2 linked regions of the Drosophila melanogaster genome follow. The protein of the gene in region 2 interacts with the protein of the main gene of each other region in a biochemical or structural test. Each region holds a gene or a part of one and is shown on either strand. Other genes may lie near its edges.

Evidence for each region.
Region 1: the proteins of Gbeta76C (region 2) and Ggamma30A form a complex in vitro, tested with the Drosophila melanogaster proteins (one study listed by BioGRID).

Annotation. Positions count from the first base shown.
Region 1 is NT_033779.5:9,254,575-9,259,857, forward strand, and holds the start of Ggamma30A (G protein gamma subunit 30A), read left to right. Parts: upstream 1-1,988; 5' UTR 1,989-2,632; intron 2,633-4,693; exon of another isoform or gene 4,694-5,011; intron 5,012-5,283. Other genes in the region: lectin-30A, read right to left, coding at 1-257. UniProt on the Drosophila melanogaster protein: Guanine nucleotide-binding proteins (G proteins) are involved as a modulator or transducer in various transmembrane signaling systems.
Region 2 is NT_037436.4:19,685,531-19,690,505, forward strand, and holds Gbeta76C (G protein beta subunit 76C), read left to right. Parts: upstream 1-2,106; 5' UTR 2,107-2,197; coding exon 2,198-2,266; intron 2,267-2,687; coding exon 2,688-3,133; intron 3,134-3,187; coding exon 3,188-3,389; intron 3,390-3,528; coding exon 3,529-3,658; intron 3,659-3,741; coding exon 3,742-3,828; intron 3,829-4,021; coding exon 4,022-4,128; 3' UTR 4,129-4,462; downstream 4,463-4,975. Other genes in the region: CG8765 (uncharacterized protein), read right to left, coding at 1-148, 208-361, 428-1,116, 1,265-1,406, 1,465-1,705. UniProt on the Drosophila melanogaster protein: Guanine nucleotide-binding proteins (G proteins) are involved as a modulator or transducer in various transmembrane signaling systems.

The sequences.
Region 1 (5,283 bases), on a different chromosome or scaffold from region 2:
TGGTTGCCCATTATGGTCTGCAGCTCGTTCAGTGCGTATGCCAACTTGCTTTGCATGGCCATCAATCGTTCTTCTATCGATCTTTCGATCCTCACTATTTTCTGTTGCATTTCACTTTCCTTCAGCGCAATGAATGTGAACCATTGTTGTTGATTTATAGCCACTTGATCAATTAGCAGCGGATTTTCCGTTTTGTTAGCGAGAACATCACGAGAAGCCCAGGCTAGAATGACGCATATAAAACAATACTTGAACATGTTACTATGTATGACCTGCTAGTCCCAATCCTTAAAACGGACTGTTTCTGGATGTTAACATCTGTATAATGAAATAACAATCCGCATCTAAAAGCATATTAAAGCGTTGAAAACGGTTTACAACGTCTGGCAAATACATAGGTTATTCGTTCTAAGCAGGTGTATAACTAATAAAATTTATTAATACAATTTATGGCTTACCAATTAGGAAAATCTTTCTTGATACCGTACGTTCACCGCACTTTTATGATAGTCGCATAATTTCGGCCTTTTCTTAATTAAGTTGATGGGCTAGAAGTTTTAATTGGCTTGATGCTCGTTCTTGCCTTAAGCCACAAAGTGGATGAACCTAAAGGTGGGTGGGCTCTACCAAACGTCATTACCAATCGATGGCTGTGGGGAAAAGGGATATATCCGAGGCATTCATCCAGACATCTATCTATCCATCCATCCATCTATCCATCCGAGAGCAGATATTTCAGCAGCAGCAACGACAACGAAACTCAATTTGCGCCGGCCAAACGATGCGTTGAGCATATAAAATGCAAAGCGGAAGCGACGTTCATGGATAGATTACACAACTACTTACAAATGTGCGTTTAAGCACCCAACACCCACCACCTACCACCCACAGCCAGCCATATTTCCCATTTCCAACGCTTTTCCTGCGTGTCTGCAACTGTTGCATATTGCAGTGCGTGCGCTGCCTTTATTGTCCCGATGTTAATGGAAACACCTGCTGGCGGCGGAGAAGTCAGCCCCGGAGTCCGTGAACGAGTGCCAGTCATTGTCAGGGGAAATCTGGCCGGGATTGCGGGGTGAGGTTGACTGTGGAGCTGGTGGTGTACAGCCGCCCTTAAGCTGCGTCATCATCTCCATGCCGGATGACAGTAGACGGACCGAGAATGGCATCTTTTGGGAGCGCTTTCAGGTAATGCCGCCGAGAGATCCATTTTACAAAGTGCAGCCAGTAAAAGTGTTTCTGTGTCAGCTGTTGATGGTGCCCAGATGCCCTGCTAATGTAAACGTGCCACGAGGGACACAAATTATAATTATGTTGAACTCTGATACGGCATTAATGGAAGCTCCCATGCATTGATCCACCATTGTATTGATTGCTATCCAATATACCTTATAAGCCCCATTGCAGCCGTATTACTATAATTTATATTGATATTTTACCTTCATGCTTTATAATATTAAAGTTGCTTTGACTTTTCAGCATTTTTACGTTTTTAATTAGAACAGCTAGCACGTATTGAAATTGGAATACCACCACTACGTTTTAGTTTATTGATGTTAGCTTAGAAACTCATAAAAAGCGGAGAAAATGAAACAACATGTGCGTAAAAAAATGAACCCTAGGGAAGTTCTAGAACAGCAACTACCCTACGAAAAACCAAGGCAATCGTAACGAGTTTATGTCCCACCGATATAGTTCCAACCCTCCAGGTTAATGAGCCCCGAGTGGGGGAGCGGTTCAATTGAATTGTGTGCCGTAAGTTGGACAAACCCAATTAAAATTTCGACTGCCCGTTTTTCCGGCGATAAAGAAAGAATAGTGCTGGCCACCCCATTTACAATCCCCTTTGCACAGGTGTTGCACAATTCCACTCGTTCCCGGGCACTCGAAAGTGCACTTTGTACTCACTCAAAATTTACTCCAGTCTGGCGCGTTCCACTTTCACACGTTCCTCGTGGACTCAACGTGCGCCTTGGCATATGCAACGCATTCAGTCGCTTGTGGGAGGCAGTTGCATTCGATTGCCAGCACTTTCATCAGCGGAAAAGCCAGAGAGCAGCTAATAGCCGGACAAAGAGTGAGAAAGCGAGAGCGGAGAGGGAGAGGCAGAACACATTCGCTGGTTGGTCTTGGTCTTGGTACCACTCATTCGACACATTTTCCTTCAGTTTTCCCTCGGCAGCGATACCAGCCGTCGCTTACTTTTTCGTTATTCTGTTATTGCTGGCCTTTGTTTATTAGTGCGTGTCTTCGCTGCGAGCGGTTTTCGTAATTGAAACGAGAGCGACATAATTAAATTAAAATATACTCGCACACAGTAGCGCACTAGCATCGATAGACGGGCCAACTAATCACATTACCAGCCATCAGACATCAAGCCACCAGCCATCAGGCCATCGTCAGTCGGAAACCGAAACGCAGACCCGCAACACAAGACTCACAGTTCGCATTGCATACTTTTTGGCGCGCATCGAAATAAACACACCAATACGTACATCAATACAACACAACAACAACAAACACATTCAGGCTCGATTGCTGCGTGAGTGTGAGTGTGCCTGTGTCTGTGCGAGAGTGCCTTCTAAAGTCGCCCATCCTGCGAAGCGACAAAATTCATCAACTCTTGTGTCTGGTGAGTTGACATAAAAGACAATAGAATTGCTGGCAATAAAAGGCAAAGCTTGAAGCTAACAAGAAAATTCCGGGAAAAGTGCCTCGGGCTGGTGAATGTTTTGGCAATGTTGGTGTGAAAATGTCAGACTAGATCGTGACCTTTAAGCTTCTGATCATTAAAGGGGTTACATATTTTCTGTGAATATGCTTTTAAAAATGATAACTGGTGCGAATAATAATCTGCAAAAGTTTTTGGTCCAAATGTTTTGTAATATAAAGAAAACTTGATGAAATCATGAATATTTAATAATCATCCAATATTCTATAGTGTACTTTAAAATAACGTAAAAACGTAAAATGCGATTACACAAAAATAATAACATTATTCTCATTTTATATTCAGAATTTAATCTCATCATTGACCTACGCCATAAACACTTTTATATCAACTTGTACAAGATATTTTTTGTGGCTGTTTTCCACTTGAGTGGTTTTAAGTATCTGGAATGAGAGTCCCTTTCATCGTAGTTATTAATGCGATAAATTTCACAGAAATGCTATGGTCATCGAATGTCGTGAGCAATTTTATAATTTGGTAAAGTAATGGGATTTTTCGAAATTATGTCATGCTAGTAATGATAGTAATGCTACTCGTATAGTTCAGAAAAGAAGCTTCTAGCAAAGTGGACGTAATGACTCCATTAAAAAAAGTTCTCTATTAAGAGAATGGAATATTCAAACTTTGTGATGGGCCATTTAACCAAACATCCGGGATGTTTGTGTTAACACACAAAAGTTGGTCATATTACTGATGAGGAAAATATATAACGTTTAATGGTCAACGTTAATGGCTTTTCTTTCGCACACATTAAATGCACGATCTTACTTAACGAATAATAGGATTATGATGCAGAAGAAGGAGGATATATTAACCAGAAAATTTCCTTATCGATGTGAAACAAGTGAACCGAAATTTGCATTCATCCGTGGCCCACTGAATGCAATCACTTAGTCGACACCACCCATACCACCCACTTATAATTCCTGCCCATCCCTGACGATCCAAACGCATCTGTGGTTAATGTGCGACAATTGTTCGATTTCGCTGCTGCTGCTGTCTGCAGTTGCAATTTACTGCGCTGTAATTGTTTTACGTGCATGCATTAATTTTTTGAAGAACCACTGCAATTATGGGTCGTTTTTTTTACTTTTATCAATTTAAAAACCATTTTGATTAAACTCCATGTCCTCGTTGGTGTTTGGTTAAATTGAACACATCATTCTTGTTGGCATGCTAAATTGAATGATTGAATTGCATGTGCATTAAATACGTGTTGTTTTACCTCTTTTGAGGGAACTCCTCCTCCAACGACCCATCGAAAATCGACTAAGGCAACGCAATCACATTCGCTAACAATTCGCATTTGTCGCGCCTCAATTATAGTGGAAAATATTTGCATTCCAATGCATGGGAATGGGACGCGTGTGGGGAGAGGGATATTTGCCTACGTGCCATTCGAAGGATTTCCCGACGAGGTCCTTTAGGTAGGGGCTTTGACGTGGGCTTTTCCATTTCGCATTGTCCACGCTTAAGCGCGGAAACGGGAATTATGCATGTTGCATTTAATAATTCATTAAATGAGTGAAAAAAATTAAACACGAATGCGACGTATTCATTTTGGTTGGTTTGGTGTAATGAATGAATAATAATGGCATTTTTTATGCAGCTCGTCCTGCTTGGGGAAATTCATTGAAATGGAATTTGCAAATAGCCAAGCATTAAATAAAAACAATACATTTTTTTCTATTTCTATTTAATTTTAAATGGATTTTTATCTGATAGAACTTAATGCTTCAAAATTTATTGTTCGAACGGCAGTTTCTTCTGTGACGTTCGTATTACACGCTAATAAGAGGAATGTTCACTCTATAAAATTGCCAAGAAAAACGTATACATAATTTAATATAATATTATTTTCTGCTGAGACGGCAGATGGCCACTGGTCGAGCCACAATAATGCATAGATAATGCGCCAGCCGGCAGACTGCGTCTCCAACTAACCTTCCCGATTTTCCATAGCCCCACTGTCGTTGCCCCGAGTGAGCCAGATGAAAAACTGCATTTTCCCGGTTTCCGGCTGCTCCTGCATCAACGAATTATAATTGCAAGGGCTCCACATTCAGCTCCAGCTTGGCCGGCAGTTTGAATAGGAACAGGAATGGAGGCGGGGCTGGTCAGTTTCAGCGTGCGTTTGCAAAAGTCATAAAGAATGCTCCATCCTCACCCGATGTCCTTCTTGCAGGGAATCGCCGACAAGTGCCGGACAAGTTGACGTTTTTGGTCCGCGAGTCCTGCTCCTCAGCCTGTTTTTCAGCCACTATTTTCTCGCCGTAGAAAGTATGTTAATAAAAATTTTAATTTATCGCCAGGCATAAAAAGTGTGCAAAGTGCTGGGTGAGCAGGTCCTTCGCTATCCCTGCCGTTTTCCTTGCTGGAATATTTTCATATTTTCCATTTTTATATTCCCTCTGTGCTTTAACACGCACAAAACGCGTTCGTTGGCTTCGCCATCGTTTGAGCGCTCAATGGCCTCTGCACTCAGAAAAAAAATGTACAAAATCTACAAAATTGTCAAGAAAAACGTATACAAAATTTAATTTAATATTATT
Region 2 (4,975 bases):
GGTGGGCAAGTTAAGCTGGGAATTCGACGAAGACGACTCTAGGGTGATCTGCTGCGTGGGCGGTGAGTGAGACTGGGTCATATGGTCCTCGAGTTCCCTCACCGGGTCATTTTTGGGTAGCAGCATACTGAGTTGCGAATCGCTTTCCCTGAAGAGTAAAAAGTTATCAATATATGATTATGTTAAAATAAACAAAACCTCTCTTACAGCGTCTTTTGTTGTATGTACTTCTGAAGGAAACTGAGCGAATTATAGTGCTTCCAACGCGATGTGGCATCTATGTGCATCAGTGTCCTCAATCGCTTGTGTTCGCGTGCGTATTGGTCCCTTAAAGCCTTCCACTTCAGTCGACACTGTTTCACTAAAATAGTTAATGCTTGAAAAATCATCTTCATCCTTCGGCTGTTTAAGTTTATCAACCACATACCCGACTTCTTTAGTTTTCTGGCGATTTCCTCCCACACCTCCATCTTGAGCTTGGCATTGCGATAGTTCTCGTTGCCGTAGTTGTAGATCATGTCTTCCTGCTGGATCAGCGTGATCAGTTCCTTTTCGAAGTAGCTCTCCATGTTGAGAAATGTGTGTATGGGATCGTCGTCCTCCTCCTCGGCGTTCGTCGATTGATTGTGCGCTGCTGAAGTGGTGGATACATTAGACGTGATTGTTGCTGCCGAGCTCGACTGATTGGCGGCATTGACGCAGTCCACTATTTCGTTGTAGAGAGTGTCTACCACCGTGGTTGTGTTGGCGGTTCCACACTGCACTATGATTGATGGAGTAGCACCGCCTCCCGCATCCGTCAGATAGTTCCAGTTCGCTTCCGGCTGCGAGTGCATTTGTTGCTGATGCTGCTGTTGCTGCTGCTGCTGCTGCAGCACGGCTCCAATATGGCTTGCCAAGAAAGTGGCTGCCGGCTTCTTATCAGTTGAACTAGGCGAACTGAAGCTGCAGCTGTCGAGCAGCGTGGATGCACTGGCATCCTCAATTTTAATGCTGCCGGAAAGGTTTAGATTCTGGCTACTGCTGTTGCTGCTGAAGGAAGTAGTCATGGGCAGCGATAAGGGGGTCACCGTACCCACGGCGCCATTGGAAGTCTGACCAGATCTCCCTCTGTAACTAAAGAATTGTGGGTTTAATTAAATACGGACATATCATTTGGAAGCCTGAAGAACAGAACTAGTGATAGATAGCTCCATATGCTGTATAGTCTGCATTGGCAGTCAGCATGGCGGTGCCAACTTGAATTGCTCCACGTGCTACTTACTTTCTTGCCAGCGCATATGGACGCAGGAAATCCAGCTCTTTGAAATACTTCCACTTCACTGCTTTTGAGCAGGCCTTGGCGCGCTTCAGCTCCCGGCAGTACTGATCCCTCATGGCCTTCCACTTGGACTTGCACTGGACGTCTGTGGAAATGGGATTAAGTGCCAACTTTTTGGTGGGGAAACTTAAACGTTCACTTACCGGACCAACCCACATTGCTGCCAATCTCCAGCCATTTCTCGTCCTTGATCTTGGTGCTGCGGTAGTGGGGATGCTTGGGATTGTATAGCGACTGCTCCTGGGAGACCAGCGAAATGAGGATCAGCTCCTTGGGAATGCTGACCACATTCTCACCCAGACTAGGATCTATGCTGAGATTCACGTGCTGCTGCTGCGGCTGCTGGTGCTCCTGCAGCTGGTTGGCACATGGCAGCGTCTCCATGGCGCTCCCTACTTGGTGTCCATGCTGGCGGTGTGTTAATATGGGCAATTGTTATAAATAAAAACAGGGAAAACAAAAATGAGGTGACCGAACAGCTGATCCTGGAGAGTTGTGTAATTAGAGGGACCAGTTTCGCCTTGGCTATACAAGCATCTTTTTTACATTGAGTGGAACATCTGGTGGCCACCGACCTGGTCACCCTGAACAGTCCAGTGCTGCAAGAGGCGCACACCATTTCGATAAGTTGGCAGCCCGCTCATATGTTCGATTTTAAAATTTTGGCGCCAAAAAATCGTCTTTCTATACATTTGTATTTAACGGCTAATCCAATTAGCTAATTGCATTACCGCTAAGGAAAAAAGAAAACATCATAACATTCAGGCAAAACAAATTGTTTAACTCTCAGTTTATTGTGCGACGCAGTGCGGTTCAAAACTAGAAACTTTCTTCTGGCAAATATTGCAGCCGTCCTTATATAATTAATGCTCCATAATGCCGAAAATTGACCCAGAAACACAAAAACTCTACGACGAAATCAATGGCATGATACAGAAGTTTAAGGTGAATTAAATAAACTCAACGTACAGCGAAGTAAATTAAAAATATCAGATAATAAATATAGCAACAACAAAAGTAACATAAAAAAGTTTTCCCCATATAAAATAACAATACTCTAAAAATACCGATAGCCAGCTTAAAAAGAAATTCGTTGTCCTTAATTTAATTTTAACAAAAAAATATTAATATAACTTTTTGGAATATGTATGATAATATGATTGGGTTTTAAATATCTTGCCAGATTTCATACTTCAGTGCTAACTACTCCCATAATATTTCATCTCGATAATAGTCGAACACATTATTTCCAATTTTGAAAAAATTAAGTGACTTAACTTAATCGAAAACTGTATGCGTCTCTAACATTTATTCTGGAAATTCTTGTAATAAAAATTGTCATTCATTACTATGATTTTGCTTTCAGGATGACCAAAAAAGCAAGGCTGATTGCACGTTGGCCGATAAATGCGGCGACATGGGGGATGTGCCCAAGATTCGATTCTCATCCAAGAAGATTCTCAAGGGCCACATCAACAAGGTGAATTCGGTGCATTTTGCCGGGGACTCGCGGCACTGCGTCACTGGATCGCTGGACGGCAAGCTGATCATCTGGGACACCTGGACCGCCAACAAGGTGCAGATCATCCCCTTGAGATCCGCCTGGGTAATGACGGTGGCCTTTTCGCCGTCGGGTAACTTTGTGGCCTGCGGAGGAATGGACAACCAGTGCACCGTCTACGATGTGAACAATCGCGATGCCTCCGGAGTGGCCAAGATGGTCAAAGAGCTGATGGGCTACGAGGGATTCCTCAGCTCCTGTCGCTTCCTCGACGATGGCCATCTGATCACCGGCTCGGGAGATATGAAAATGTAGGGCTTTGCTTAACTTTTTGGAGTAAAATCTAAGTTTCCTATGACCAACAGATGCCATTGGGATCTGGAGAAGGGTGTCAAGACAATGGATTTCAATGGACACGCTGGTGATATCGCTGGCTTATCGCTTTCGCCAGATATGAAGACCTATATCACTGGCTCTGTGGACAAAACTGCCAAGTTGTGGGATGTGCGAGAGGAGGGCCACAAGCAGATGTTCTTCGGTCACGACATGGACGTGTCATCCGTCTGCGTGAGTACACATATATGTTTTAATAATAATAGCTTATATTAATTACCAAGAACAACTATAAGCAGCTAATCTATTTAGTACTTGTAATTTAATACAAATGTATTCATTACACCCACCCAATTATCATTATCGGTTGCAGTACCATCCCAGTGGCTTCGGGTTCGCCTCCTGCTCGGAGGACCAAACGGCGCGCATGTACGACCTGCGGGCGGACCAGCAAATCGCCCAGTATGAACCGCCCCAGAAGAACACTGGCTTCACGTCGTGCGGTGGGTTCTCGTTCTCCGTCTTGGTGGAACACGGTCGCCTTGACTTTTGACGGGTTTTTAATCTGATTTTGTGTCCCCACCAGCTCTATCGACCAGCGGGCGCTACCTCATGTGCGGCGGCATTGAGGGCAACGTGCACTCGTGGGACACGATGAAGCAGCGGCACACGGGTGGGTATTGGGAATTGGGTAGTTCGTATTGGGTATTGGATATCCATTGCACTTGGGGGATTCGGTGATAAAGAACGGGGAAATGGAGGCGAAGCTAATGCTCAGGCTGGCACTTGACTTACATCGATTTGCTGACCTTCTTCTCCACTTTCTACTTTCTACTTACCATTTGTCACTTTCCATTCCTCCACAGGCACACTGTCTGGTCACGAGAACCGCATCACTTGCATCAGCCTGTGCCCCAATGGCATGTGCCTGGCGTCCACCAGTTGGGATCAGCAAGTGCGTCTGTGGCTCTAATCTGTGCCTCTGATCTGGGTTCAGTGTCGTCCAAAGGCGAAGACAACGTTTATGCGTGCAGTTTGCTTGCAAATTACGTATACGTAATATCCATAGCCTGCAAGTAATAAGGATAGTTCTCAGTGCAGACTAACAATATTAATACAATATTAAATCTATTGTTAAACTTGCGAACATAAGAATAGCTTGCCCCCTTTAAGTGCTAATTTGCAAGCAAAACGTGCGTATGAATATTATTATAATAATTGAATACTTGATTACCTAGAGAAAGTAGCCTCCAATAACAAGCAAGTGCCAATTGGATGTGCGAAATAAAATGTATGAATAGTACAACAAAGTAACACGTCTCCTCCATTAAAACTCCATTGCAACTTAATTTTTTTTATATATTTTTTATATTTTTCTTATAAAAAATACTTATACAATTACGAAGATATTTTTGCTGCTGCGATTTTTGGCGCTTGGTTTTGTTTGTTTGTGGAAATTGTCTTTGAGCTGGTCAAAGAGGCAGCTAGGTAAATTAAAACAAATCACTTTTGAAATCAACAGAGAGATAAAGATACAGGTTCAGATACAGAATAGTCGAAAGTATACAGATAGATAGAAGATAGATAGAAAGAGAGAGAGAGAGAGAGAGAGAGATAGAAATGAAAGTCGCATAAATAACAGATGGATAGAGATAGCTTAGGATCACACAGGAAGCAGGATGCAACGATTTGAGTATTCTGTAGATGGATCAGCATAGATCAGCTGGTACAGTTTGTTTAGTTTATCAGACTCTCGGTGGAACTACTGTGAGTTGTTCTCCTGTTTGGGTAGATGGAAGGATAGCGACGACGGGACGGCC